Regions from separate parts of the Mus musculus genome. Here regions 1, 3, 4, 5, 6 and 7 are each reported to be linked to region 2. Evidence: microRNA targets listed by miRTarBase, many of them from high-throughput screens and not tested one by one. Region 2 holds a microRNA gene; each other region holds the end of a gene's coding sequence.

Evidence for each region. Region 2 holds the annotated microRNA mmu-miR-149-5p (UCUGGCUCCGUGUCUUCACUCCC, at 2,432-2,454, shown strand). A microRNA usually pairs through its seed, bases 2 to 8, with sites in the 3' UTR of a target mRNA and lowers its output. Matches are read on the target gene's strand: a 7mer-m8 pairs with bases 2 to 8, a 7mer-A1 pairs with bases 2 to 7 and ends in A, and an 8mer does both.
Region 1: the mRNA of Sdcbp is a reported target of mmu-miR-149-5p. Seed matches in the 3' UTR shown: 7mer-m8 at 1,290-1,296.
Region 3: miRTarBase lists Zcchc4 as a target of mmu-miR-149-5p. The part of its 3' UTR that is shown has no 7-base or 8-base seed match.
Region 4: miRTarBase lists Otud7b as a target of mmu-miR-149-5p. Seed matches in the 3' UTR shown: 7mer-m8 at 1,923-1,929.
Region 5: the mRNA of Ephb3 is a reported target of mmu-miR-149-5p. Seed matches in the 3' UTR shown: 8mer at 1,054-1,061.
Region 6: miRTarBase lists Plec as a target of mmu-miR-149-5p. Seed matches in the 3' UTR shown: 7mer-m8 at 2,589-2,595.
Region 7: miRTarBase lists Med26 as a target of mmu-miR-149-5p. Seed matches in the 3' UTR shown: 7mer-m8 at 1,184-1,190.

What each region holds. Positions count from the first base shown.
Region 1 is chr4:6,393,358-6,397,563 of GRCm38, forward strand. It overlaps Sdcbp (syndecan binding protein), which reads left to right. Exons shown (of 9, transcript NM_001098227.1): 8 at 280-371; 9 at 1,153-2,765. The coding sequence ends at 1,207. It overlaps Nsmaf (neutral sphingomyelinase (N-SMase) activation associated factor), which reads right to left. Exons shown (of 31, transcript NM_010945.2): 31 at 2,850-3,460. The coding sequence ends at 3,366. Among named protein-coding and RNA genes, the nearest start is that of Sdcbp, 30 kb to the left of the region's middle.
Region 2 is chr1:92,847,950-92,852,155 of GRCm38, forward strand. It overlaps Mir149 (microRNA 149), which reads left to right and starts at 2,429; the gene lies at 2,429-2,494. All of the region lies in intron 1 of Gpc1 (glypican 1), which reads left to right. Gm29480 (predicted gene 29480) reads right to left here and starts at 848. Exons shown (of 4, transcript NR_166170.1): 1 at 752-848.
Region 3 is chr5:52,822,755-52,826,960 of GRCm38, forward strand. It overlaps Zcchc4 (zinc finger, CCHC domain containing 4), which reads left to right. Exons shown (of 13, transcript NM_001308144.1): 13 at 864-1,911. The coding sequence ends at 933. Among named protein-coding and RNA genes, the nearest start is that of Anapc4, 9.3 kb to the right of the region's middle.
Region 4 is chr3:96,155,038-96,159,243 of GRCm38, reverse strand. It overlaps Otud7b (OTU domain containing 7B), which reads right to left. Exons shown (of 12, transcript NM_001025614.1): 12 at 1-4,206. The coding sequence ends at 3,276. Among named protein-coding and RNA genes, the nearest start is that of Mtmr11, 4.8 kb to the left of the region's middle.
Region 5 is chr16:21,222,055-21,226,150 of GRCm38, forward strand. Ephb3 (Eph receptor B3) reads left to right here. Exons shown (of 16, transcript NM_010143.1): 14 at 1-4; 15 at 95-250; 16 at 354-1,250. The coding sequence ends at 462. Among named protein-coding and RNA genes, the nearest start is that of Ephb3, 19 kb to the left of the region's middle.
Region 6 is chr15:76,169,098-76,173,303 of GRCm38, forward strand. Plec (plectin) reads right to left here. Exons shown (of 33, transcript NM_001163540.1): 33 at 1,877-4,206. The coding sequence ends at 3,073. Among named protein-coding and RNA genes, the nearest start is that of Plec, 35 kb to the right of the region's middle.
Region 7 is chr8:72,492,091-72,496,296 of GRCm38, reverse strand. Med26 (mediator complex subunit 26) reads left to right here. Exons shown (of 3, transcript NM_027485.4): 3 at 1-1,739. The coding sequence ends at 810. It overlaps Slc35e1 (solute carrier family 35, member E1), which reads left to right and starts at 3,683. Exons shown (of 6, transcript NM_177766.3): 1 at 3,683-4,131. The coding sequence starts at 3,711.

The DNA.
Region 1 (4,206 bases), not on the chromosome of region 2:
TAGACTTTGATTAAAATTTAGTCCATAAATTCTAGAATACAGTTAACTGTCTATGGGACAAGCCATTCCCAAGTAAGGACTTTTGGTCAGTACCTTCAACTTTGTTACTAGCTTAAGAAAATTTTATCTGTAAGATTAAAATTAAAATTTAGACATACCAGGGACTGGGATGTCAGAGATATCAGCAAGACAACATCAAAATATAGTGTGTTTCTTACCTAAGAGTTTTTGTGTATGAAATAAGGCCTAGTGAAATGTAACTCTATTATGTTTCGTCAGGATGCTCAGATTGCAGATATACTGTCAACAGCTGGGACTGTGGTTACCATCACAATCATGCCTACTTTTATCTTCGAACACATTATTAAACGGTAAGTGAATAGCTCTTCAACTTTATGATCTCCAGCACCTGATATAAATGTGAACAGTGCTTTGAGCTTGCAGGTCTTGTGCATATTAGAAATCTAGTCATGGTGGTTCCTGACGGATTGCTTGCCTGTGAGGTAGTAAGAGTGGCTGTTGCTATTCTTTCCCGTATCCTAGCCAGTAGAGCGGTACCCGGTGCTTGCTATCTATCTATTGGAACTGAGGAGTGTAGAGTCCAGGAGAGCTGATAAAGGCCGGCAAGGGTGATTCATTCCAGAGCCTTTCAGCTCCTATGCTCCTTCATCGCTGTTACCATGCTACCTTGGAAACTTCTTCCAAAGTCCTGATATAGCACATGAAAGTGAGATTTGGAATAGACATAAACATAACCTTTGTAATGCAATTTTTGTCTATATTTTTGGGTTTTGGGTAGAATGCAGCTAGCTACCCTCGGAGTAGGGAAAGGGGTTGATTATTTTACAGTCTTTTGTTCTTTTAAATTACTGGTAGGTTCCTTATGCCCCTTTCTGACTCGTCACAGCCTTGCTGCTTCAATGAAAGAGCCAGTCGTAGTGTAAAGGATGCACACCTTCTCTAACAGCCATCCCTGATGTAAATAGCTATTCTTTCTGGACAGTTTCTGACAACTTGATTATCAGTTCCTTAGATCCGAGATCATTCATCGATGACAATAGGATAGGGCTAAGCTGGAATTGGGGTTGTCTTAAATTACCATGGCCTTCTTGAAACTAGATGTGAGTTACATGATGAGTTGCTCTCTTGTAGGATGGCTCCCAGCATTATGAAAAGCCTGATGGATCACACCATTCCTGAAGTTTAAACCCTTGTACAATGCATCACGGCTGAATGTTTCCAGTTTTCCTCTTCGGCAACTTGTCTATTTCGCACATGAAGCTTTCCCGGAGCCAGGGAGAATATGCTGCATGGAGACCTTTCTCTCTTCTCTCATAGCTGGGAACCCGCTCTATCTGATACTGGCTTCAGATTTTAAGATGGGTGTAGCCTTAGCCTGGTTTTACAGATGTGAGACTCCCAAAAGATTTACTGACTTTCCTAGACTGGGTTCTTTACTGGGAACCTGATGTTTTTATATAAGCCATTGTGATTAGGATGACTGGTATAGGCTTAGCTGTGTCTGAGACCTGGTCAGCTTTCTCCTAGAACAAAGCACAGTGCTAGTCATGTGCTTCAATTCTGTGGCATTCTTGGACTTTAGTACGTCAGCATAGTACATTTAGAATGATTGCCTTTGATAGTTATTTTTTTAAGTTTTCTCTGTGTGAGTGTGTAAAATTCCAATTAATCAACACTGTTTTCATTCCACAAAAGCATTACACAGTTGTGTGTAGGTTGCAAGAGACTGTAATGATTGTCACTAATCTTAACTACCTTCACTTAATATGCTTCAATTGTCGCCTTAACTACAGTAAGCATTTAGAATAAAAGCCAAAATAGAATTATTGCTGCCTTCTGAAACTTGAGATGTTAGCTCTCTATTAAGCTGTTCTGTGCTAGCCCTGAGCAGCTCACTGGTAAAGCAGAGCTGCCTACTTGTATCAAGATTTTCTAGTCACTGCATAAAGGAAACGCCTAAGAGTTGCCGTATTGCTTTCTGAGAAACAAATTGCTATATATTTCATGTAAAAGTTGTTATACTAAATAGAATAAATTTTGGAGTCTCTTTTTCACTCTAGTGGGTAATATCTAATTTGGCATTTGAGTCCTAACATTATGTAACTTTAGCTAGGTTGGGGTCGTTTTAGAATGTTTCCCTAGTCATCTTAATTTGTTCCATTTTCTGACTCTGTCCTATAAACAAAAATGGCAATGACACTTTATGATTTTTTCTTTCTTAGCTTGTGCCTATCCTATTATTTTATGTGATATTATTAAATGTATAAAAATGTGAAATTTCCGTCTGTCTGTGCCTGCATCAGTCCTTACTGTGAGGCTAACACTAGGTTCTTTAAGAAGCTTTAGCGGAGACTGCCTGGAAATACACTTGCTGGGCATCCCTCTTGGCCAGCCTGTGGTTACCTTCACCCTGCGCACTGACATCAGTGAAGGAACCTGGAAAGGCTGCTGCGTCTCCAGTGAATCCCGAGACCATCCACATGTATTAGTGACACTTAAAACTAACTCAAGGTTCTACTACTTTAGTCTGGTGCCTTTTCTCTATAACATGTTTATATCATGCTTCCTTTTCTCTATAACATGCTTCAGAAAATTTGTAATCTTGTAGTTGCTGGTCAGAGACTGAATGTAAGAAAATCATTGCAGTTTCTATATAGGCTACCTTGTTGGAAATTTATAATTCTCAGTTTGATTATCCACCTTGCTTTCTGGACTTGGTTCTGAATATAGGTCCAAAAGAAATGAAATTGTGTTTGTTTCATTAAGTATGGTTTTGTAGAAGGAATAATACTTGTGATTCTTAAGTTATTTAAATAAGATAAGAGTGCTTTCATTACAGAAAAATATTTTTAATGTAGAAAAGATGAACCTTTAGTAGCATAATGAAATATAAACCATTGCTATACACAGTAACAGACTTAATGTTATTAAGAATCTGGGCACGCAGCACTGCCGAAAGGAACCAGTCCATGACCGCACATCAAAGAACCGTGTTACCGTCAGAACCTGGGCAGCTTGAATACAGACTGTCCTCTTGGGGACTGAGCTGGCCAGTGCTGGCCAGTGTTCCTCAGTCCGACTGGGTTTATCCTGAACACCCAGTAGTCTTCAAACTGTTGTCATGGTTGATAGTTCTCTGTCCTTTCCCCTAACACTGCCATGTTATATCTGCTTAATGGATGACAACAAATGGCTCTGAATGAAGTCACCATGATTTAGGAAGTTGAAACCACACATTCTTCATGTGGTAAAACTTCTAAGTACTATCATTGCACATTCACCAGTTTAAAGTCTGGTTTAAAATACATTAAGTAGAATTGTACTTGATGGAGAGGAAAAGGCACTTAATACTGCAATTTCCAGAACATAATTTGTCTGTCTTCCCCTCCGGTGATAATACTGCTACACTGTTCGTTCATCCACATGCATGTCACAGCACCTGAAAGACATCTCTGTTAGCAGGTCAACCAAATGCAGATGTGCTGCCTGCCATAGGAGGTAATCAGCATACCCGCGCTCCTATTATACACTATGTAAAGGTTTGTTGTTGTTTTGTCAATTCAGGGTTTTATTTTTTTTCCTTTTTTTTAATTAGGTATTTTCTTCATTTACATTTCCAATGCTATCCCAAAAGTCCCCCATACCCTCCTCCCCACCCCCCTACCCACTCTCCCACTTCTTGGCCCTGGCGTTCGCCTGTACTGGGGCATATAAAGTTTTCAAGACCAATGGGCCTCTCTTTCCACTGATGGCCGACTAGGCCATCTTCTGCTACATACGCAGCTAGAGTCAAGAGCTCCGGGGTACTGGTTAGTTCATAATGTTCCACCTATAGGGTTGCAGACCCCTTTAGCTCCTCGGGTTCTTTCTCTAGCTCCTCCATTGGGGGCCCTATGTTCCATCCAATAGCTGACTGTGAGCATCCACTTCTGTGTTTGCCAAGCCCAAGAATAGCCTCACAAGAGAAAAACTTGCTTCTACAAAGAACTTACAAGGAGTGAACTATCTCACTATGAATCTAAAAACAAAATGATTGATGGAAACATACTCCTTGGCGAACGGTAAAAGACACATAGAGAAATGTATGGAAAGGGAATTGGGCAGCCTGTAGCCAGCCATGTGATTTTATGTCTTTTTCATTGAAAGGTTCACATAAAAATTGTAGCTGTTAAGAAACCAACTAAA
Region 2 (4,206 bases):
TGCTGCTCTGCAATTGCCAGACCACTTCACTGGCGCTGGAATCGCCCTTGCTATCCGGAGTGCATCCACAGCTGGGGACACTATTGGAGCGGCCATGGAGAAGGGGGTTCTAAGGCCAGGAGGGTGTCCGCTAAGCTACCAGGCTACGTCTGCTAGGCACCATCTCTATCACCATTCCTGTCTGCATCCCCCCTCCTCCATGCATTCACCTCTCATCTTCAGTTCCATTCTCTCGCAGCTGTACCCCCACTACAGCCTATCTCTGTCTCATCCCCTTCCCATCAAGAGCTTGGTCATCAGCCCTGATGTCCACTCATGTCTCTCAGCTCCCACCTCCATCCCATCCCCATCTCCCTAAAGTTGTGCTGCACCATCCTAGATATTCCTCTCTACCCCATCCCTCCCCCTGCACCCCTCAGGCTGCCGCAGCCCCCTTTCCGCAGTAAGTCCCCCTTCCTCTACTGAACCCATCCCCCCTTTCACCCCGCCCCCGCCGCCACAGCCATGGCGCTCGCTTTTCTCCCTCCTTTTTCTGCCGCCGCGCCCACTGCGGCAAGCCCCTTCCCCGCCAATCACATCGCCCTCTCTCCTCTCCCTCCATCTCCCGCTTTCCGCAGCCCCCCTCCAAATGCCCCCCTCTGCCTGCCGCAGCACTCAGCTCTCCGCACCAGCCGCGCCCACTGCACCAGCGCCCCCTCCTCACTGCGGCGCCAGAGCAGGCGCCTGCATCTGCAGCTCCGGCTTATCTTACCGGCTCCAGCTGTACAGAACCATCCCCGTTGCAGAGGAGGCAGCGGTCGGTCGGAGCTGCAGGTGTCGCCCAGGCTTTGTTCGCCCAGGGCCTGGCCTGATGCTGGAGAGGCAGCTGGCAGGAGCCCTTGCCTGCCCGGAGATGACCCCTCCCATCGAGTCCATAGAAGTGCCAGCAGCCGATGCCCCCCAGTTAGGGGGTCCCTGTTCGTGATGGAGGTTCTTCTTGGTGATGTTGCCATTTGGGTGAACCGGAGGCAGGGGCTCGGGAATCATGAAGGCATCCAGGAGGGTGGAAAAGTATTGGGAGTGAGGTGGGGGCGGGGAGGGGATTGTGCTTGATGCTTTTCCAATTTCAGAGATGGAGTTGAAATGTCTTCCTTCGGGTGTGACCCCCGGGGACTAGACAGGTTTGTTGGGGAACAGGAGCAAGCAATGGGAAAATGCCCCTGGAGCCTGGGCAGTGAGTAGTCCCCCAGAAAGCTGGGCCATTTGCTCCAGGCTGTCACGTCCTGGAGACTCTCAGCCTCTGGGGCTGGAAAACCCAGGAGCACAGAGGGCTGGTTTACTTCTAACCTACCAGTCAACAGAAAGGCCTGCTCTAGGAGCCAGCAGCTGGGGAGGGGAGTGTAGCCTGTGCCTCTCCCTTATCTGCGGTGCTGAGAGATTATACTCCGAATGCCCCTACACTCCCCCAAGCCGTGCCAGCTGGAGTGTTTTAGGGGCCGTGAGGGAAGTGGGCTTTCCACTCTGCATCTCCCCCGTGAGCACAGGAAGCTTCTAGAAGAATGGACCAGAGGCGGGGTAGCATGACTCTGCATTATCTTCAGAAGGTGGAGGGTTTCAAGGCATTGGGTCCCTGAAGTGTCAGGGGAGGTCAGGTCAGAGATGTCTGTGGGTAGCATCAGGATGCTGGACTCTGCTAAAGTCCTGGGGTGACTGTGGATGATGACCAAGAGGGATGCTGCCTCTGTGAGGGAGGAGCAGGAGCTGGAGCTGTCAGCAGGTGGCAGGAGGGTGTGACCCTGAAAGGTAGGAAGCCACAAGCTGCTGTCTGCTCTGGAGAATAGTGGGGGGCCGGGGGTGGGGTGCAAGCAGCCAGATTTGGGAGGAGGTAAATGAGCAGTTGCTGCCCATGGGTTTGCTGCAATGGGGTGCCATGCTAAGTGTCACAAGAAGCAGGGGTCTTGGAATTTGAGAGGCTTTGGGGTTGGGGACAAGGCTTAGAAAAGGGACTAAAGTGGGGAAAACCTGCCATTAACAAACAACCCCCTTCCCCAAATAAAACCTGTGAGTGCCAGGGGAGGGTAGTGCCCCCCAAAAACCCAGGAGGGAAAGATCTGGAAAAATGAAACCAACTCTGAGAGAGATGGGCGGGGTCAGTGGGGAACAATACTGCCGCTCCACTCCCACCCACCTTCAGGGCTGGCAAGGAGGAAGCTGCTGGTAGGGTAGAACGGAGAGACGTTCCTACGATGGGTATGTACTCCAGTGCTTTCCTGGAAGTGTAGAGAGCTTTGCAGAGCCTGCCTTAGCTGTTCTGATGTTGAGCACCTATGGTTCCAGTTGGGCTGGGTCTCAGCTCCTCTATCTTTGACCCTCAGCAAGCAGGTCTGCCAATGCATGGGCTTCTGGGCAGCCTGACCCAGCCTGCCCGGGGCCCTCAGGCCAGTGCCCAGGCTCTGGCTCCGTGTCTTCACTCCCGTGTTTGTCCGAGGAGGGAGGGAGGGACGGGGGCGGTGCTGGGGCAACTGGAACAGCGCAGGTCACCGGGCTGGCTGGGTGAGGTGGCCAGGCAGAGCCAGGGGGCTGCAGGGGAGGCCATTGGATGGGGTATGCTCATAGTAGCTGGCCAAAAGTCTCATGGGTCCCATTTATCCAGAACCTGCCGTGGAGTGGGGCGAGTTTCTGTTTCTGAGTGTGTGTCCTTAATTAACTTCTTCCTGTTTCAGCTTCGTTCTTCTGTCTATGTGGTGAGGGGTGGCAATTGGGACCACTAAGATGGAGAAGGATGTCAGAGGAGCAGAAACCATGGGAGGGGCCAGTAAGGCTGTGCCCACCTCTCTCTTGCCAGTGCTCTGTTGTGCAGCCTGGTCCTCAATATTTCCACCTAAAACCTTTGGCCTACACACACAGAGTGCCTCTGTCCCAGCTGAGCCCAGGATGGCCCCATCCTGATACCTGCAGCCTCCATCCCCATAGCTGTTTCCCCACTCACTGCTGAAGTCAGAGATGGGTCATCCTCTACAGTGCCCCCCATGATTCCTCCTCTAACAGAAAAACCCTTAAACCCCACCACTCAAAGAGAGAGATGTGGCATATCACCTCAGCCCAGCAGACCATGGCCCGGAGCAGAGCAAATAGAAGGCCCTGCTGGGCCCTGTACCTTGTTGTGCCTGTAGCCTGCTTGCGGGTGGATAATCTCTGCTTAGCCCTCCCTACTCTAGAAGGAAGGGAATCAATCAATGGATGCAGATCAAGTGGCAGGACCTAGGCTTGCAGCTCCCAGCTGTCTGGGCACCAACCCAGCCCTTTCTTGAGGTTGGGTGCTTAATAACATGTTGCTTCCCAGGACCTGCAGTCCCTGTGAAAGGCAGGTGCCCTGGGCAGGAGGAAGCAGTGTGGTAGGAGCAGAGGGTACCAGGTAGGGGAGTGGTGGGAGGGGCATTCCGTGTGCACCTCCCATCTCTGACTCCCTTTTCTCTTGACTCCCCCAAGCACCCTTGAATCAGAATACAATTCCTTCTGTTCTTCTACCAGCTGTCAGCCACTGCCCTGCTCTGTGGACCTTTGGGGACCCTGAAACCAGGTGGGACTCAGCCTGTGAGGCCAAAAGTCCCCAGGGTTCTGGGATGAAGCACAGCTCCCATGCCTTAGTAAGCAGGAGAAGGGCTAGGCCAGGCCCTCAACCTGAGACCTGGAAGAGCAGATCTGAAGGTTGCCCTACCTAGGGATGGAGGGGTGGCATCTGGGGATATATACCTTCCATGTCAGGTCAAAATCACAGAGGCTGTACACAGTTCCACTCTGCAATATGCACACACACACACACACACACACACACACACACACACACACCATCCAGCACACATAAATGCTTGTGCTTACTAAGTGCTAAAGACAAGGATGTGATCATGTAACAAGCTCTTAAGGGTGAATGCAACCTCAGAATCTCTCCTTAGTCAGAGATCTCCACTCCCAGTTGGCTTCAGGGGAGGGGGGTTCATAGAAATGGGGCCTAACACATAATGGCCTCATCCTGAGGTCACAGGTTCCTGCCCCCACATGCTTCTTGACAAGATGTCCACTCCCCTCTGGCTCAGTCCCCCACCTCTGATGGCAGCCTGCAGTATCACATCCTGGAGTTCTTCACATCCCACCTTTCCCATCAACCCGTCAGCAAGGATAAAGCCCAGGTACCAGCCCTGGCACCTACTCTGGGCTCTGGAAACTCTG
Region 3 (4,206 bases), not on the chromosome of region 2:
GGGCCTAGCTTAGTTTGGCTCACAGGAGCCATGGCTTCTGACTCTCAACAACTAATGCTGCTTGGTAGTCAGAGCCTTTGCCAGCTATGCCCAGGGGCACAGTGTGTGCACCAGCACAGTCCTCGATAGGGCAAGTGGCATGGTTCTGCTAGTGTGGAGAAGTGAGTAAGTAGTCAGGACTCTCGCCATCACGGGCAGCAGCATCTTGGTGGTGAGAGCAGCAGAGCAGAGGATCTGTTCTGTCCGCCGTGGCAGGTTGCAGCGGGGCCTGACTGTTCCAGCCTGTTCCTTTAGAACAGCTTGCTTTCAGGAAGCTTGGGACACAGAAGTCAGGCATCCCTTGAGGTGCTAGCTGGCACTTTTACACCTGCGAGGGGAAGGGAGATTAGCTTCGAGGCTTTAGGAAAGGGCCTCTGCAATGTGGTCAGTTTTCCTTTACTTGTTGTGCAGTTTCATTTCTCTGCCCCTGCTGACTGCCGCATGTATTAATCCCTTTCTTAAAAAAAAAAAATGTAATTCAGGGACTTGGAAATGGAAGTGCTGAGTTGAGCAGTATAAATGTAGCAAAGAGACAAGCCCATTGGGGTGGCTGCTCACTCGTGTGGCGTGTCTGTCCCGAATAGCTTGTTCTAAATGTAGTAACCATCTTTTAAAGAAATGTCTTCGGAAATGTCTTTTGTGTGATCAGGCCCATCTCTTTCCTTGTTGTCATGGTTAGGACACTGGGGATTTATGCTAGCCCCACAGTAAATTCTTTCATGTCTTCTATTTTCCTATTTGGATAGCCAGTTAATTAAACTTCAGCATAATTACATAATTCACTGTGCTCATTCCATAAAATAATTTAGCACCTTGCTTTTCAGAGCTGTCAGAAAGCAGAAGCAAAGAAAACGTAATAAGATAAGAAGGGAGGCACTAAAGGACAATCCATGAATCACACATCTGCTCCAAGAAGAAGGAAGAGGAGGGAAGGGGCCATCAATATCCTCACTCCTAAATGTCCAGTGACTTGAGAATAAGCAAGATTTATAGTCCAACCTTTGATGCCATTTTCTCCGCGTGCCACATGGACTTAAATCCAGCTGCTTTCAAAGGTGTGCCCCTTCCTAAGCCTGGTAATGGGCAGGTGGCATTTGCTGGCTATGTCCCTTCAGCTGCCTCTGCAGACCGGGGAGCCTTCTGTAGGCAGCAGGTTGCCTGGCTCTCTCTCCACGCTTTTCCACCCTTTAACGCCTCACCAGTGTTTATTTTGGCCTCTTTTGACTGAGAAACTGACGGATGTTCAGTACCTGTTTACTTCGATACCGGATAGAAATGCAAATGAAAGTCTACCGCTTACCTGCTTACCTCGTGTGCGTTGAGCTTTTGTTTCACTTTAGGTATGAAACTCTTGTTAAATGACCAAGTCATACATTAAAGCACATCTGGTCCATAGCCCATCGGCCACATGTGCCCCAGGATAGCTATGAATGTGGCCAATCATAAGCACACTTAATACATTGTGAGGCTTTTTGTGAGATTTTGGTCATGACTTGTTCTCACAGACCTTGAGTAGGAACATTGTAGATGATGTCGTGTTGCAGTGTCAAAAGTTGGGCACAGCCGGCCAGTGGTGGCGCACGCCTTTAATCCCAGCACTTGGGTGGAAGAGGCAGGTCGATTTCTGAGTTTGAGGTCAGCCTGGTCTACAGAGTGAGTTCCAGGACAGCCAGGACTACACAGAGAAACCCTGTCTCGTAAAAACAAAAACAAAACAAAAAAAAGTTGGACGCACTAAGACTCTTTTAACAAAAAGTATCATACATAATATTTATGGATTGGATCTAGAGATGGTGGGGGAAATTGTTATTGAAACGCTGTAAAGATAAAAGGATTGTAATTGTTTTATTATTAAATCTTTATTTTTCAGTACTTTTTTCAGTTGTTATTCCTTTTTTTTTTTAACATTTTACAATCAGTAGTTGTACGTGTGCCTGTGTGTACCCATGCATGCCACAGCACTCATGTGCGAGTCGGGGACAGCTTGTGAGAGTATGTTCCCGACTGTGGGATTGGCCTGAGTTGACAGACTTGGGGGCACGACCTTTCCCCACCTCACTTGTCTTCTGTTGGTGCGGGATCACTCATGTTGGATGGATGTCTAGGATGGTGATTGCACTGGTATTTTAGGGTCCTCATGCCTGCTGTAGGTTTACCCCTTTGTGAAAGGCGTTGGTCACATAAGGCAGGGTGGTGATTAACTCCCTCATTCCTGTACTGAGGAGCACTTCCTGGCTGGGTGGCCTTTGTCAGATCTCCTCTCTAAGCCTCTGTGTCTTCAGTATGGCATATATGTCAGCTTTGCTTTGTGATCTCGGTTCTCTGTGGTGAGCAAGCTGTATAACCCAGCTTTTGACCCAGGTGCCTAGCACTGAAGAGAGTAGTTCCATATCGTAGAAGAAGCAGTTCATGGCTCCTTTTCTCTGCCCGCTACCTGGCTTTATCTCTTTAAGACTGAATGGTTGCAAATGGACTAATTTGCATAATGACTTGTCTTTTCCTAAACAGCAGCTCTGGAACTCCTTGTGAAGCCTCCTGGCTTGGTAGCTGGAGCCCCGTGAGTTCTCTATCTACTCCCTGTAATCCAGGACAGTTGGATGTGTGATGCGGGATGTTTAAGCATGGAGCAGATCAAATTGATAGTGGTCGACATCAGGTGGCATCAAAAGATAAGTTCGTTGGGTGCAAGGGCTTGGCATGCAACCCTGCTGATCTGTGTTCCTTCCCCAACCATGTAGAAAGCCAGATGTGTAATCCAGTCCGCCTACGGGAGGTAGAGACAGAAGAATTGCTGGTAGCTCATGCGCTACTTAGCCTAGGGTTTAAGAAATAGGAGAGACCCCAAATCGAGGCAAGGTGGGAAGAGCCGACTCACATAAATATTTGTGGCACATCTTCCCCTGCTTGCAGATGCACACACACATTCGCGTGTATACCCCCAAATACATTTTATTTTTCTATCTATCTATCTATCTATCTATCTATCTATCTATCTATCTATCTATCTATCTATATCTTGTCTATATATAAATATGCACATATAAATATACACACATATACAAAATACACATATTTATGTGTGTATATATATACATACACAACTATATGTATATACACACACACACACATATATATATATAGACACACATACACACACACATACACATTTAAAAGTTGGTTAAGCCCTGAGACTTAAGCTTTAAGACACTCTTATCTCCCTCTGTTTTGTGTCTACTTGTTTGATTTCTGTTTGGTAAACCCAGGCTTATGTGTGTGTGTGTGTGTGTGTGTGTGTGTGAGTGTGTGCTGGACAATCGTTCTAGCCCTGAGCTTCAGTCCCAGTTCCATCTTGTCACTGTACACAGATGACTGTGATGATAGGAGGGGCAAGTCTGAGACAAGAGCTGGGCATTGCTGTGTTCCCCTCTCTGTTTTCAGCCTGGATAGGGACACTTCCAGACTTTCCTGTGTCTACCTAGCCATGGTATCTATTGGGTTCTCTAGAACTCAGATATCGGAGGGACCATGACCACTGAAGAGTTGGGTCCTGATGGCCAGTCATCATTTGTAACCCCATATTCCTTAATTTTAAGATACTATCAGTTATAAAATAGGTCATCCAGTTAGGTGTCATGGAACATACCTACAATGTGGCTATTCTAGAGGCTGATGAGGGGGGGTGGCTGGAACCTGTGTTTAGGCCTAGCCCACTCAACACAAGAAATTCACCATTGATTTTGTCCTCGATTTCCCTAGGGAAAAGGTGCAACACTTCAGTAATTGTCTATACTAGTTTTTAGATTTTCTGATTTTGGAAATATTGAAACGTAGAAAAGTTACATCTTAGAATTAAGGAGCCTAAGCCTTAGTAATAGTCAGGAGTAATGTACTATATAACTCTGAGGCATGGTCACACATGCAGGTAATCTCAGCATTCTTGAGATTTTAATCCTATTCAAGCGACTAAGATCAAAAGTTTAAGACCACCTTGAGCATTTTAGCCAGACCCTGCCTCAAATTAAGAGCAATAAAATATGGGGTAGGGTATGGTTTAGTTAGTGGTGTGCCTGGTATGAATAAAGCCCGGGTTTAATCCCTCTCTCTGCAAAAGTGAAAATAAGCTTTAAATAGCTACTCTCAGACTTGGAGTGTTCAGTAGTTAAGAGA
Region 4 (4,206 bases), not on the chromosome of region 2:
AGGAAGGTTTACTCACGTGGATGCTCCCCACACAACCCTCCCTTCTCCCCACCACAGTATCTGCATGGGCTTGCTTATTCTGAACAAGTTGATCTTTGTTTTGTTTCCCAGACGTTCCTTAACTCCACCCCTACTCAACCCCTCCTCCACCCTAAAAAACACAGAATGAAAATCTCACAAGCCCTCATTAAAAAAATAATAATGTCTCAGAGTCCCTCATCTTTAAAATTGATGCCTTAATAGTCACCCTCCAAATTAAAACTAATTTAACAAAAAGTTAAAAGACCCAATACCCATTTCCCATATGACCTTAGACCTCTCTTCCCTTTCCCTGGAACTTTTTTATTTTCTCTTCAGAAAGGCAAGCAGAACTAAGATTGGGTACTATATAAATAAAAACAACATGATACAAGTTTTCTGATTCTCTTCATTTGTCCTCAGTTTATACAATCTAATAACAGACCAAGTCCAAACACAGCAGCCCAAAGGAAATGGAATTCCCTGGTTTTATTCTACAGGAAAACCCCTGCTGGGCTGTTTGCATTCCCACCCAGGCAGGTAGGCATCCTATGTATGTTGTGGGAGAAGGATGACAGAAGTGCACACAGGGTGACTGCAGCCAGGAAGAGGGGCTCACGGTGAAGGTTTCACCTGCATTATTCAAGCTTCAGAAACTGGGACAAGTCTGAGGTGATGCTAGCAAGGCACGAGGCATTCACCTACCACTCACTGGGAGAAAACTGAAGGAGTGCTTAAAACTCACGAATCAAGATAAGTACTGTCTTGATACAGTATTTAAAGAAAATAAAAATTTTTAAATGTAAAAACATCTTTATGAACATATCACAATTTAAGTAGACAGGATTTGTCCTCATATTTGTTCAATTAAGGGCTCTTACCTCTTTCACCTTAATACCATTCCTGATACATCCTAAGATTTTGATGTTTTGTTCAATCTGGGTTTTTAATGCTTATATATTGAAATTTTAAAAAATGTCTGGTATGATGTGATCCCAGAACTTGGCAAATTTGAAGCAAGATCATATACATTCAAGGACAGCCTGGGCTACAGGATAGGATCCTATCTAAAAACAAAACAAAAATAACCCTCAATTTCCTAGTAGATCTTTAAATTATGCACCTGCCAGAAATGCTTATCTCATACTAGGTTTCAGCCTGTAGAAAGCTGGGTGTGGTGGTTCATGCCTAGGTATCAGCACTCAGAAGACTGAGGCAGGAGGGTTGCTATGAGTTGGAGGCTAACCTGGGTTATATAGCAAGTACCAGACTGGCTAGCCAGGGCTACATAGCAAAGATACAAACAAAAAATAGTCAAAAAATAATGATGGGAAATTATGAAATCAACAGATTGGCAGACTTGGAAGTGAATGACTTTCAAACTTTTTGAGGGGGTGGGGGACAACTTCTTAAACTTAATAATTCCATAAAGAAGTCTTGACTAGCTTTGTTACCAAAGAGAGGTGTTTGATCATTTTTCTGACTAGGCAGAGGAAACATGCACTGGAGTCCCATCTCACACACGCACAAACATGCACATCTAGCCATTTGTGACTTAAATCAAATTCGGGGATAACATTCCATTAGTGGGTGATGACATACCTCAGCAGAGAAATTGGAGCCCAGAAACAGCCCCAGGTAACTCTGGACACGTGCAGTGCACTCACCCCTTCTTCATTTGCATCCACAAATGAACACAGAATTCATTTGTATAGAATTGCATAGATGATTTTTCCCCAGGAAAAAAAATAAGGAGAAGGGACAATTGGCGCAGGATAGCCTTCAGGTTTAAAGCTCTTAGAAATAGCTCTGGTCAGAGCAGAAGCTGTCCAGACTTGTGCTTTGTGCAAATTGCAAGGGAGCTCTCACCACTGGGTCCAGCCCTACCCCTCTGGAGAACAGGGCTGGCTCAGGAAAAGGGAGATATCCAAAGGCAGGTCAGATCACTGGGACCGTGCGGCCCATGGCGACAGCTCACTAAAATAGAGTTCTCTAGCTACCTTTCAAAGTGGCCCCTAGCCCCCATCCCATGCTTCAACACCAGCCCTAATATCAAAAATAATTTTTCTTACAAAGTATTTTTTATTATTTTAATAAACTAACCACAGATTAAGGTCAGCCACGGCTTAACAAAAGAAGCCAGGGTGTTAAGTTCACTCTCCAGAAGTGACAGGAAGGAGAAACCCACTTAGGTAGGGGCAGGAGTCAGTAACTTTTAAATGTTCTCTGTCAGGGTCCTGTCTTTCTTTAAAAAATTAGTAAAATAGGTTGCTTTCTACAGAAACACAGCAGCAGAGGATAGTGCTCTATAGAGGTTTTTGGTATTGTTTCAAACAGTCTAGCCAAACATCTGGGCTCCTCCACCCCTTCTCAGGTGCACTCAAACCCACATGTAGTTATTGCTAAGTAGTTAAAAAATAGATCACTCTGCACCCGTTCACCTGAAGAAACCCCATATACAAGGTTGCTTCTTACCACTCTTCTCTTTCCCAAAGGGAACTTGCTTTAAAAAAAAATATTTAAAAAAAAAATCACATCTTAACTTAGCTGAGCTCAATCCTTAAAAAGGATGAGGAAAAGGTAGGGCAACAGGCAGTCTCCCCTAAAACTAGAATGGATGGCAGATGAGTATCTAGAAGAACATAAAACTCTCTAGGAAAGACTCCCCTTTAAGTTCCTCCTTCCTATTTCCATTCACTGGGATTTAAACCACCCTTTCTGTGTAACCAGGCCAAGCACATACATTACTGCCTTGATCCTTCAGGGAGAATTTATTCAACCCTAATATCTACCTAATTCAAACCAAAATCAAATTTGTTCAGTATCTCAGATCGACTCAATACTCCCAACTACACCACCATGTGCTTTTTTTCTAAAGTCAATGAACTTTGGTCTATTTTTTCCTTAACTGACTTGAGAACTTTCTTTCCAGGTTCCTCCCCGAAGGTGTCCACCCACCTCCCACCCACACACACCTAGTATTTCCCTACTTTCCCTTGGGCCCTGGGATTGGGACAGAAGAGGTTATGAGCTTCCCCCTTCTGCCTTGAAGTCTCAAGTCAACTGTGTGCGCAGGAGCAGTACTGCCCTGGGGTAGTGCTAGCTAGCCCAGCCCTGCTCCCACCAGACTGCCAGCACTCCAGCCCCCACACCCCTCTCTGCACTTGCCCCATCAACACAGGGGCTGGGTCCTGATGAGCCAGAGTTGAGCTTAACTTTCTTTGTTTAGCCCCTGTCCCCACTAAGGTTCCAGCCACTCAGAACCTGTGTGCCAGCAGTTCCCCACCAGGTTCCCGCTCCCTCCGCCTCAGTTCTTCCCTGTAACAGCAAGAGCACAAGTTGTTTGTCTCAGGGTGTCCATAGAAGCTGCAGTTCGGTTGTTTGCATTTGGTCTGGGTTGGGGGAAGTCCCCGTGGAGCTCCAGCCCATCCATCTGGCTCTGGGGGCTCTCTGTAGCCATTGCTATAGGAATCAGCCACACGGAACTGGGGTGGTAACAAGGCACCCCTGTGAACTCCATCTTTGCCTGGCTCCAGAGCTGGGATGTTGTCCTGGTGGGGGTACGGTCGCCCAGGATACTGTCTGGGAAAGGTGGCATATGATGGTAAGCCCCCTACACATGGCCCCCCTGCCAATTGCCTCCGGGGTTCCTGGCAGTGGACTCCACCCCCAGAAGGCCGAGGGATAGTAAAGCCCCCAGGGTAAGCAGTAGAGAAGGCCATCGCCTTGGGCTCTGCGGGGGAGTCACTGGGCTGGTCCTCCCCACCGTCCGGCTCTGGCTTTTTGGCTGGAGGAGGCCCACTAACTAACCCTCCATTCATGATCTTCCTCTCAACCTCCTTCTGCTTCTGCTCTGCCAGGAATCTTTCCTCAGCATCTGCAAGGTAACGCTGGATCATCTCCTCCTGATACTGGTGCCGGTGGCCCATCTTCAGGGTTCCAACAAAAATGTACTTGCCCTCCCCTTGCATTGCGATCCTCATAGTGCTCAGGCTTTGCATCACCTCCTGGCTATACTTGCTCCCGCCATTGCCAACAGACTCAGACGGGGGCTTCTCAGACACAGGCCCATCCCCAGCAGCCTCTTCCTTGCCACCCTTCCAGCTCTTCAATGTGTTGTTCTTCTTCTTCTTTTCTAATGTCTCCGTACCACTGCTTATTCCAGACCCACTCCCCAGCCCTCCAGGC
Region 5 (4,096 bases), not on the chromosome of region 2:
CTGGGTTAGTATCCTGGCTCCCACAGGCTGGCAACCCTAACCCTACTCCCTAGCTCCATGGATGCACCAGGTCACTCTTTTTTTTTTGTCACAGCATGTCCCAGCCCCTCCTGGACCGCACAGTCCCAGATTATACGACCTTCACGACAGTGGGTGACTGGCTAGATGCCATCAAGATGGGGAGGTATAAAGAGAGCTTTGTCGGTGCTGGGTTTGCATCCTTTGACCTGGTGGCCCAGATGACTGCAGAGTAAGTGTACCGCTCAAGGTGCAGGCTCTGGGCAGGAACTCTGGCTGAGCCCAGCGTCGCGGGTAGAAGGGAGGGACTGAGTACCATTTTTTTCTGTCTCTAGAGATCTGCTAAGGATTGGGGTCACTTTGGCTGGGCACCAGAAGAAGATCCTCTGCAGTATCCAGGACATGCGGCTGCAGATGAACCAGACCCTGCCTGTGCAGGTCTGACACTCAGCTCCAACGAGGGGGGGGTGCCCCCCCAGGACTGCACAAGGATTCTGACCAGCCAGCTGGACTTTTGGATGCCTGGCCTCTGGCTGTGGCCCAGAAGATGGAAGTTTGGGGGAGGACCCTAGCTGTGACTTCTCCAGGCCTGTGCTCCCTCCCAGGAAGTGTGCCCCAAACCTCTTCATATTGAAGATGGATTAGAAGAGGGGGTGATGTCCCCTCCCCAGATGCCTTGGGGCCCAGGCCTGCCTGCTCTCCAGTGGGGAGTCTTCACAACTCAGATTGGGCTGCGCTTCAGTAATGGACGTCCTGGTAGGGTCAGGTGGGGATAAGCCTGGGTTCTTCAGGCCCCAGCCCTGGCAGGGGTCTGACCCCACCAGGTAAGCAGAGAGTACTCCCTCCCCCAGGAAGTGGAGGAGGAGACTCTGGGGATGGGGAGATATGGTGCCCCATCCTGAAGCCAGCTGGTACCTCCAGTTTGCACAGGGACTTGATGGGGGCTGAGGGCCCTGCCTACCCTTGGTGCTGTCATAAAAGGGCAGGCAGGAGCAGGCTGAGAAGCAGCCTGTGCCTCCCAGAGACTGACTCAGAGAGCCAGAGACTGTGTGTGTGTGTGTGTGTGTGTGTGTGTGTGTGTGTGTGTGTGTGTGAAAGACGGGGGTGGGGGTATGTATGTGTGTGTTGTGCACATGCTTGCCTGCACAGAGAGCATGAGTGTGTACAAGCTTGGCCCTGTGCCCTGTAGTGGGGCCAGCTGGGCAGACAGCAAAATAAAGGCAATAAGATGACTCTTGCCCCTGCTCGTTCTTCCTCCCAAAGCAGGTTTCCTTGATTTCCTCATGTCAGTGAGGGAACTAGGGGGCTGCTAGACCTTCACAACTTCCTGGGGGTCAGTGGGAAACTACAGCGAGGCTATCCAGGCCCGATTTCTCCTGTAGTTCAGCCCCATTGCTTTGAGCATCTAATAGAGTTCTCAGAAGTTCCTTGTTTCTGGGGCTGGGGGACAGGCTCTGGAGTCTGCGTGGTGTTCTGTAGAGTCCCTGAGGGAGAGCTAGAGGGTTAATCACTCCCCAGGGTCTCAGTATGGCTCCTCTTCCTTCACTAAGCACTGAGTGCACCCAGTCTTGGAGCCAAAGCCAATTTTACATCCACATCTTATTTCAACTCAGTAACCCAGCCAGGAGAAGAGGGAGATGTTTAGTAAGTTGGCCACAGTTCCCATCCAGCACTAGAGCCAGAGGCTGGAAACCCCTGTCTATAGACAGCCTGGAGAGGCTTGGGAGATGCATATCAAGAGTCCGGAAGAGGTCTGAAGTCTCTGGAGTCAAAGGAAGACTTGTGCGTGTCAGGATATGGAAATGAAAAGGGACATCCATGATCCTGGGTAATGGAATGGGCTGGAGGAAGTGAGTGTATGCACCCTGGGTCTGTTTTAACCAGTGGTGGCAGGGTGAGAGTGCAGGGGAGGACACCCTCACAGGGAGAGATGCAGGTCCCTTTGGACCAACAAACAGAAGCGGGCAGGGTATAACAGATGCAGTCCTCCCAGAGTAACCATAGGTGCTGCCTAGAAGAGCTTTCTGAAATATCTGTGAATCCTAACTTAGAGTGCCCTTCACTGGGAGGGACCAGGAAGGCCTAGTAACATGGGCATGTACAAGGGTTGTCAAGTGTGGCCACCTCAGTCTGGTGTTTCTGGCTCCTCCTGGGTCCCTTCACCAACCCCTGGCAGACAGGTTCTCAAGACTGCCTCTCTACCCCTTGCATTCGGTGCCCAGAGTCCTGCAGTACATACTCACCGTGAGGGGGGTGCACCCACAACGTGGATCCTCAGTAGCCCCCATGCTCCAGGGAGGGGGTGGGCAGGAGCTCCCCAGTCATCTTCCAGTGCTGTCGTCAGTGGTGTGGGCATAGGGGTACAGGAGAAGGGATGTGGGCATGGTTGCCATTCCCTTGCTGAGAGTTCACAGGTCCCAAGCCTGCTTCCTACTCTTGGGAGGGTGGCCCTCTGGATCAGTGAGAGGTCTGTGGCTCCTGTCTCCTGGGTAATTTTTCCATTGTCCCACCCCACACAATGCTGACTGTGGAGATCCACTCAGAGCGAGGCCAGGATCTGCAGGGTGGACTGGAGCCTAAGGCTAGAGGTGCTCAAGTGCTCTTCCAGCTCCGTCCAGCCCACTGAAGCCTGCATGATTTCTTTCTTTATGGGGGTATGAATGTCTTCCCCTGTCTTCCCACAGTCTCCTGCCACTGTCAGCCAGAGTACATGCACGTACTCTAAGCCTATTCCATTATCCACACACCACTTACATTACCCGTTTTCATGCCCTCAGTCTGTCCACCCTAGCCCCCCTCTTAGCCTGGGTACCTGCAGGGTTTCCCAGGACTCAGAAATAATGAGGGGAGGGGCCTGCAAGAGTCACTGCATTCCTGCCAGCTGATAGAGCCAACTGGTATTTTGTCTAGAGAGCTGGGATGTATTCAGACCCTAGAACCTCAGAACAAAGTAGTGAGGGAAGCAGGGTCTTGGCAGAGGAAGAGAGAGCACCCCAGGAGGGGTCCAGCTTCCCTACAGGCAGATAAGGAGTAGGGGGGGATGGAGTTCTCAGTCTGTCTAGTCTTCCGTTAATTACACACTCTGGGGCAGATTAGCTCTCCCCAGTCAATGATTTAAAAGAGAAGCCAGTGGGGAAGAGGGGAGAGGCAGGCCCTTTCCTGCTGAGGCCAGGTGCTGAGTAAGACCTGGGGTAGTGTAGTGTAGTAGGAAGCGCAGCCTACACAGAGCCCAGGCCGGGTGTGGAGCAAAAAACATCCTCTCTCTCTCTCTCTCTCTCTCTCTCTCTCTCTCTCTCTCTCTCTCTCTCTTCTCTCTCTTCTCTTTCCCTCTTCCTCCCCCCCCCACACACACACACAGACACACACACACAGACACACACAACGTGACCTAGGCAGGTTGACATCAGAGCCGTCCATCATCTGTAAGAAGTATATGAATCTTTCTATCCCATGAAAATGTTACAAATGCCCAATCGTATTAATAAATGTAACATCTGTATGATGGTACGTGCTAAGAAATGTTAGCTCCTTTTTATTGTTGCTATTATTTATTAATGTGAAACTTGAAGGAAATATAGAAGCCGTCAGAAGTGAATAGTACTTGGTTTGTAACAGTCAAATACAGCAAGGCCCTGGGAGTGATGCCAGCCTCAGTCTTGGGAGGAAAAGATGAAAAAGCTAAGGAGCAAGGAAAGGTGGGACTGAGGGACACAGAGGTACAGGATTCGCCCAGCCCTGCCCCTGGGTGAGTTGCTGGGACCTGAGTAGTTTAAAGTCAGTAAGAGTTTAAAAGATGGTGAAGGGCAAGTTGCTGAGGGTGGAGCTGTAGGGACTCATTCCTCAAGCATTTGTTGGGTGTCTGCTACCACACTGCAGTACTGGGATGGGCACTAAACACACAGAGAAGCGAGGGGAACCAAATGCTTGCAGGAACCAAGAGAACGGCAGGAATGAGATTCAAACAACCACAGAAAGGGCTGCCCATGATTACAAGTCAAGAAACGCCACAGAAGGCAAGTTGAGGTTTGTGGAACCCCATCAGCAAGGCTGGGGGCTCTCACCAGTTATGGGATGCCCA
Region 6 (4,206 bases), not on the chromosome of region 2:
CCTTGGATTTTAACAGGTCCTTGGGAGTCACAAGGAAGGACTTGGGCTTATTAAAACCTAAGGCTTTCCAAGGGAGCAGCTTTTTAGAGGGGTCGTCAGACAGGGAAGTCCCTCTCGGTTACTCTTCCCAAGGACTTCCTCTTTTAAGATTTCAGGTAGATGGCATTTTCCTCAATGTGTGCTCAGGATACCCCAGGCCGCCACACTGCTGCACTCCCAACTGTCACTAGGGTCAGATGGCCAGTGGGTAAGAGTGCTTGCTTTACAAATGTGAGGGTGAGAGAAAGAAGGCACCGGATGCCAGGCTACCACATGCTCACCAGCATATATCACACAACACAATCCACACTCAAAAAAGGAAGGAGCTGTTGATGGCCTACCTGAATCCCACCGGGGAAGGGTGTGTCCTCCTGTCCACCCCTGGCTATTTACCGGTCACACCTTCCGTCCTCCCAGACTCACAAGTGCAGCTACATCTGGAGATGCCTGGGAGCTACATGTGTCACCCTAGCGCTAGCTTGCTTGTGGCTGCTGGCTGGCTGAGGCAGGGATGTCAGCTCAGATCCATCTTTGCATAAGACAGACCAAGAACCCTGGGGTCCAGCTATTACTAGACTCCAGCAGAGGCCACATTCTCGTCAGCTCCTTGCCCCACACTTCCATCTCATCCCTCCCAAGATGCCTCCTCCAGTCACAGACACCTAAATTGCTACTTTAAGCTCCACCTCTGGGGATCTGGCCTCCAACAGGTGCCCCCCCCCCCCCTGTAACCTTGGAAACACAGTCCAAGGAGGGGACTTGAGTAGGGATGTCTACTGACCTCCAGATGGTAAGACCCACCTGTGGAGGCGTGTGGAGACTGCATGTCCTGCCATCCACCCACAGCAATGCAGTGGCAATTTTGAAGCATGACAGCACACAGAGGGAAGGGTGGTAAAGTCCAAAGAGATCCAGGTCAAAGGGGCCTGGGCCTCAAGGGAACATAAGCAGATGGTTACAATGGCGTTTCTGCAACTAGCAGACGGCACTTCAGCAACGTGGCAAGTACCTAAGGGGGCTTCCTTAAATGTGGACTGCTGTGCTAGGCAGGCCATTCTTGCCAAGGGAGTATATGCTGAGAAATGCATTCTAGTCAACCCAGCAGGTAAGGCTGCTGACACCTGGCAAGGGTGGCCCTAGTCATTCATCCGAAGTGGGGAGAGAAGAGCCCCACTTCGTAGGCAGATCGAGGTCTGTACCCCACAGGCAAAGGAGCACGTCAGTAGTGATGTGCTCAGAGCCAGGGGTTATAGCAGGTTGCATGTCTCACAGGTCTTTTGAAAATCTGCAGCCACTGAAAGTCCACACAGCTTAAGTCCAGGACCTACTGACCTGCACTTGAAAAGAAAGCGGGCCCGAGATGTAAGACAGACCACACTGGAAGTGGGTGGTGGTGGTCCCCGGCAGCAGCCAGTACTAAAGCCACCTTCCTAAAATAGCTGCCCTTAACCAAGAGGAATCAACCCACCCTCCCCTCCCCCAACCCCCAGGGAGTGTGTGGACACTCACTCCAGAGAAGTCCCAACCCTGTGGCTGTCATAGGGATGTGCCAAGTGACAGGACATCACCCAGATGAGAGGCTGGGCACAGCAGGCCCACCTCAGTGCAGCCTGCTCCCTTCTCCACTCTGCCTTCTCTGCCTGCTAGCTCTCTAGCCACCCCTTGGGTTTTCCTGGTTGTGATGCCCAGCCTTGGCCTAACATCTTTGCAAGGCCTCATGTATCTACTCTGGCCAGTACCCATCTGGTGAGCCAGGGCCCGGAGCCGGGAACCACAGCTTCTACCCTCTCACGGATACACAGATGATCTAGGAACAAAGCACAAGGCAAGACCCAGGTGAAGGTTGGAATTGCTTTTATTGAGGGGCGGACACCGCAGGGCCCCGCCCATGGTCAGGTTAGTGTTCTGCCTGGCATCTCCACCTGCCACCAGCTCAAGGTTAGTGGAACATGCAAAGCTCACTCAGAGGGTGGAGGCAGGGGAGGAGCCACCAAGGCCCGGGACTGGCTGGACAGGAAGGAAGGGAGAGTGTCACTGGCCAAATGCTTCTGTTAGCATAGATGGGCCAGCCGGTGTCTCTGGGCCATGGAGGGGCCAGGGCTCCCTGGGAGTGAGGTGGGCAGCAGCACCCAGAGAGGGGTTCCACAGGCTTGAAGAGTCCCTGGGCCTCTGGAGCAGGAGAAGTCTCAGATCTGCAGAACCCTCCAGCCCCGCCCAGCCAGAATGTCCATCTCCTACCCTGGGTCTGGGTCTTTAGGGCCTGGGTACAAGGACACAGAAGGCACTTACAAGGGGAGCTGAGGCTGGAAGGCTGAAGCAGAGGCTCAGGTCTCAGGGGAATAAGTATGGGGTGTTGAGCTACAAAGCATAGCTCCAATGGCAGCTGCAGGAGCCAGGCGGGAGGCTGGGGCCAGGACCAGGCCTTATCTTCCCATGGGGAAGGGGCTTCTCTGGGTAGGCTGGAAGAGATGGTTGGCCTGGGATCTTCCCTTGGCCAGCAAAACCCACTGAATATACAGGACATTCAGAGATAGACTGGGGAGAAGCAGCTGGCTCAGGACAGAGGCCTCAAGAGCTGTCTGCTCACACGACTGTCCCCAGTTCCCCTCAGCAGCTAGGACCAGCAGGTAGACATCCAGTGGGGTTGGCTTAGAGGTCTGGGGGCCTTTCCCAGATAGAATCCTCCCAGGAGAGACAGGAGTGGTATAGGCTGAATGCCCAGCTCTGGATTCTCCAAGGCACCTGGCTGTGGTGAGTGGCAGGTAGAAAGGATTTAGGGAGAACCCAGGAGATTGAAGTGGTCACTGGGCCTGGGCCAGCCCTGTTCCCCAAGACACAGGCTGTCTGGACATCGCATACATATATTAATGTGTTAGTCTGGTCTTTTTGGTTAGATTTTAGGCACCGCTTGGGAGGAAGACACCTTTAAATGTTAAAAAGGAAAAAAAAAGAAAAAAAAAAAGAAGACCCCAGTGCCTCCACAGGGAGCCCGGCCACATGCAGAGCGGGAAGGCAGGATGCAGGCTGAGGGGATCAGGCCACTGCAGACTCAGGGCCCCCAAGAGAGGCTGAAGGCCCTGAGGCATAGCGGCGGCCATAGCCTGAGGAAGAGTAGGAGGAAGAAGAAAAGGTCATGGAGAAGCCAGAGCCAGTGGCATCAAAGCTGCCACGCCGGGAGCCGGCCCTGGAGCCGGTGCGTGAACCAGTGCGTGAGCCGGCGGTCGAGCCAGAGCCACTGACGCTGTACGGGCTGTAGTAGCCCTTGCTGGACTGTGCCGCAGCCTCCAGCAGCCTCAGCCCCGTGCCCTCCTCCACCATGCTACGGTCCAGAGCGTCCTTGTAGGAGATCTTGAGCTTGGTCTTGGGGCACGTGAGGTACTTGGAGTAAGCACTGACATCACGCAGCTTCTGGGCTGTGCGGGCATCCACAGTGCCACGTTGCAGAGCTTCGTCGAGAGACACACGGCCGGGCGTGTCAGGCTCGATCAGACCACCGGTCAGGTACTGCACCTCCAGGAAACGCTGGCCTGCCTCATAGTACAGCCAGCCCTTCTTCAGGGCCTGGGCAGCTGACATCTTGGTCTTGGTGCGTGGGTCCTCAAACCCACAGAAGGCCTTCTGGGCCAGATTGATACGGTCTACCATGATCTTGTCCACCAGGCCCTTGTTGACAGCTTCAGTGACCGGGAAGCGCTCACCAGTGCTGGGGTCAATGATGCCCCCGGTGCAGGCTTGGGCCTCCAGCAGCCGCTGGCCGGTGATGTTGTCTACCAGGTTGCGGTGCATGGCCTCCGTGATGGACACCTTCTCCAGAGTCTCTGTGTCCAGGATGCCGGCCACGGGGCCAGTCTCCTCAGTCGGATCAGACCAGGAGGCTAGCTGGGTCCTGGGGCCAGCAGAACTGATGGGGTAGGAGGAAGATGAGCCCACAGAGGAGGAGCGGGAACGGAAGCCACCGGCATTGCCTGAGAGCATGTCAGCAAACTCAGTGATCGAAAGCGTACCAGCGCGGTACTGGTCCAGTGCTGAGCGGTCAATGAGGTTCTTGGTGATGGCGTCGTCGATGTCATACTGGCGACCAGAGCGGCGGTCGATGATCATAGACTTGACGACGCCATCTGAGGAGGAGATGGTGATCTCTTCCCACTCACACTCCTGCTCCGACAA
Region 7 (4,206 bases), not on the chromosome of region 2:
CAGCCACCCACGCCCCCTGTGCGCCGTCAGGAGCTGCTGCCTAATGCTGAGAGCCCTGTGCACTGGCCAGAGCAGTCTGAGGGCCACCCACGGCTAACGGGGCCAGCCTGCAGGGCTGGATTTTCTCCAGATTCCTCCAAGGCGGACAGTGATGCTACCTCTTCGGGTGGCTCGGACAGCAAAAAGAAAAAGAGGTACCGACCTCGAGACTACACAGTGAACTTGGACGGGCAGGTGGCTGAGGCTGGTGTTAAACCTGTGCGGTTAAAAGAGCGGAAGCTCACCTTTGACCCCATGACAAGACAGATCAGGCCTCTGACCCAGAAAGAGCCGGTGCGGGCTGACAGCCCAGTACCCACAGAGCAGCTGCCTAGGACAGAGCTGGAGCAGCAGGAGGTCAAGGCCAGCCTCCAGAGCCCTTTTGAGCAGACGAACTGGAAGGAGCTATCACGAAATGAGATCATACAGTCCTACCTGAGCCGCCAGAGCAGCTTGCTATCCTCCTCAGGCGCACAGACCCCAGGTGCGCACCACTTTATGGCTGAATACCTGAAGCAGGAGGAGAGCAGTCGGCAAGGGGCCCGGCAGCCCCATGTGCTGCTACCACTGCCCACACCCACTGACCTACCAGGGCTCACACGTGAGGTCACGCAGGATGATCTGGACAGAATCCAGGCCCAGCAATGGCCAGGGGTTAACGGGTGTGAAGACACACAGGGTAATTGGTATGACTGGACACAGTGTATATCGCTCGACCCTCATGGTGACGATGGGCGCTTGAACATTCTGCCTTATGTCTGCTTGGACTGAGCACCTGACCTGGCCATCATGTGCATTCCCACCTCGCAAGGGTTAGGCTGGCCAGCTGAGAAGGCGAGCATGAGGCTCGCTCTCCACCATCCTTTTGTGAAATGCTGCTACCAGTTTACTAACGATTGCAAAGGAAGGGCCGCTCGGGGGAGGGGCAGATAGATGGCTGAAATCTATAGTAAGCCAGCTATAAAGCGTTAGTCCCCCATCCCAGAAGAGGTGCAGAACCACTCTAAGCACCGAAGGCAGGGACCTCAGTAGCAGGCAGGCACAGGAACCCTGTGGAAGAGGTTACCTTAACAGCAACAGACACATCTCTTCTTTGCATCTCTTGCTCTTTGGCCCTGGTGTCTCTGAGGCACAGGCTACTCTCGAGCCAGTGGTTTTTTTTGTCGCCCTCGTGTTGTGCGCTGGAAGCTTCTCTGCTGTGGTGAACCCTGGTGTTGTGTGGGTGGGCCAGCCTCACCCACACTGCACAGTCGTCTGCCCATTTGTATATGGTTTCAGTTCAGTCCCAGTTCTTAAAAGAAATGCTGCAGAAACTTGAGTTTTCTCATTTATTTCATTCTCTTTTTTCCCCTACCACCAGCCAAATGACTTTTCCTTCCCTTCTTTCCTTTTCTGCACAACTCTAGAAAAATGCCATCTTTCTAGAGTCTTTAACCCACAAAGTTCCCGAGGGTGCTACTGGTGTGAGTTGCCCTGGTGGGCTAGGGAAGAGCCGTCTGTTGGCTGGAAACACTCATAACCATTCCTTTAGATTCGTTTGCCTTATGGTCATAAACGCGATTTGCAAAAACAAGGAGCCTTAGTGAATGTACAGTACCTAGACTTCTGTGTTCGCGCAGAAGGGAGCAACTTTGCTATTTGGTCCAGTAAGTGGACAACTTGTGATATAAATGTGGAAATAAAAAAAATATTTGCACAAACCAGTTTTGGAATCATTTCTCATTTGCACATGTATAGCTAAATCTGGCCTTTCCTACAGGGGTAAGTGCCTGGAGCCCACATCCATACCTACTATGCCAGCCTTGGTGACATCCCTTTAGCTTTATTTTGTAGCGGCAGGCAGGGCCTCTCTATCTGCTTTTCATTGATTCATGGTCAACAACATCCCCTTGGTCACCCACCTAGAGGAGCCTCTTAGTGACATGGTGTACACCTTCCCTGCCCATCAGGGAGATTGCATGGCCCAGATGTACATAACTATTTTCTGGCCCTAGCCCTGGGCTAGCAGCTGCAGGCAGACCCAAGGCTGCCTCCATACCTGACAGGTGTCCACTAAGATGTCACCTTCGTTATATAGTAATGATCTACCCCCTCTCTCCCACATACACAATTAAGCCAAGATTAGGTGTCTAGTATTTTTTTTTCACTCATCCATATCTTCTTAATTTCAAAGATAACAGTTATTCATAAAACAGCAGCTTCATGGTTTAAGTCTTAGAACATACCTCCTGGTCTGGTTGGTACCAAAGCCAACCCAGAACCCGTTTCAGAGCCAGTAGGAATTTCTGAGGTTTGTTGCAGAATGGCCCCACTCCCCATTACAGGGCCATTTGAGGAGGTGAAACCACAGCTGGGTTGCCCTGAGTACATGTACCTGTTGTGAAATGAAAAAGCTTCCAGAGTTGCCAGGGCCAAATCCAATATGAAATAAAAGCAACCAAAACACATCAGTGGGGCCATCTGACACTGCTCTGTCCAAAGATCCTAATTCCTCTTGTATTTAGTTTGTGACAAAGGCCTTAGGGTACAAAGCCCAGCGTCCTATCACCATATTCTTAAACTCCTGCTTTGGGAGGGACCAGGCCATTTTCTACTCAGATCCACAAGGACTGCCACATGTGTGATGAGTATCCAGCAAACCCCAGGGTACAACACAGTCTACCTTGAAGAACGGGTGAGTAGCTACGCATGGTGCTCAGGAGGCGGAGGCAGGCAAATCTCTGAGTTCGAAGCTAGCCTAATCTACAAATCGAGTCCATGACAGCCAGGAATCTGTTACACAGAGAAAAGCAAACCAAAACATAGGTGAGGTAGAAAGACACCCTGGCATTCAAGGAGACGCTGTAAAGGAGAATATTGAGGTTGGCGAGATGGCTCAGCAAATAAACGCTTGCTGCCAGAGTTAGTTTCTTTTCCTGGATGCACATGGTAGAAAAGAGACAAAAGACTCAACTCGTCTGACCTCAATATGTGTATACACACGCTCGTGCCCGCCTCCATAAATGAACACATTTTAAGGAGCGCGAACAACTATTCTCCCTCACTTAAAAGCACACGATCTTGGGAATCGAGTTTTGTAAGTCTAGTCCTGCCTTCGTGGTTTTGCCCAGCATCGTACCGGTCAGCTGAGCTCTTAAGACACTGTCGCAGGAGACACTTAACCCTGGATTTCTCTCGGTTGGTCTGTGAGGGGAAATTGACACCTACCGCACAGCTTCCGAGGACCCGGCGTAGTCCAGAGGATTTACCGCAATCGGTTTCTTTTCTTCTAAAAGATCTAAGCCCTGTCTACGCCCCAGGCACGCGGCTTCCACAGCCTCAAGTGGGCGGGCCCGCGTCGCCCGGCACCTCCCACGGAGTCCTGCCAGTCACCGGAGAGAACGTAACGCGCTTAACCCACCCGCGGGCCCTACGGCCCGCCTTCCGGGCTTAGCCCCGCCCCCTCCCGGAAAGCGTTTAAGTGAGGGTAGGGCCCTCGCCGACGACGTGTACGGGCGCGTCGGCGGACGCGCGACGATGACGTATGGGGCGGTGGCCAATGGCGAGCGGCGATGACGCAAGGGCCAGGGGCCAATGGTGAGCGGCGTCTGCCGGCGCGCCCTCCAGGGCTGTCCCGCCCCCTGCCCGCGTCCGGCGGTCGTCCGGCGGGAAGGGGCGGCCGCTCGGGCAGGATGGCGGCGGCGGCAACCGCGGGTCCCGGCGCGGGCGCAGGGGTCCCGGGCGCGGGTGGCGGCGGCGGGGCGCGCGAGGGTGCGCGGGTGGCGGTGCTGTGTCTACTATGGTACGCGCTGAGCGCGGGCGGTAACGTGGTCAACAAGGTGATTTTGAGCGCCTTCCCGTTCCCGGTCACCGTGTCGCTGTGCCACATCCTAGCGCTGTGCGCGGGGCTGCCGCCGCTGCTGCGCGCCTGGCGCGTGCCGCCCGCGCCACCCGTGTCGGGCCCCGGACCCGGCCCGCATCCGGCGTCCGGCCCGCTGCTGCCGCCGCGCTTCTATCCGCGTTACGTACTGCCGCTTGCCTTTGGCAAGTACTTCGCGTCGGTGTCGGCGCACGTCAGCATCTGGAAGGTGCCGGTCTCCTACGCGCACACCGGTAAGTGCTGAGGCGGGCTTTGCGCGCTGTCTGGGGCTTCGAAGTGTGGGTACGAGTGCGCGGGCCGTCTGACTG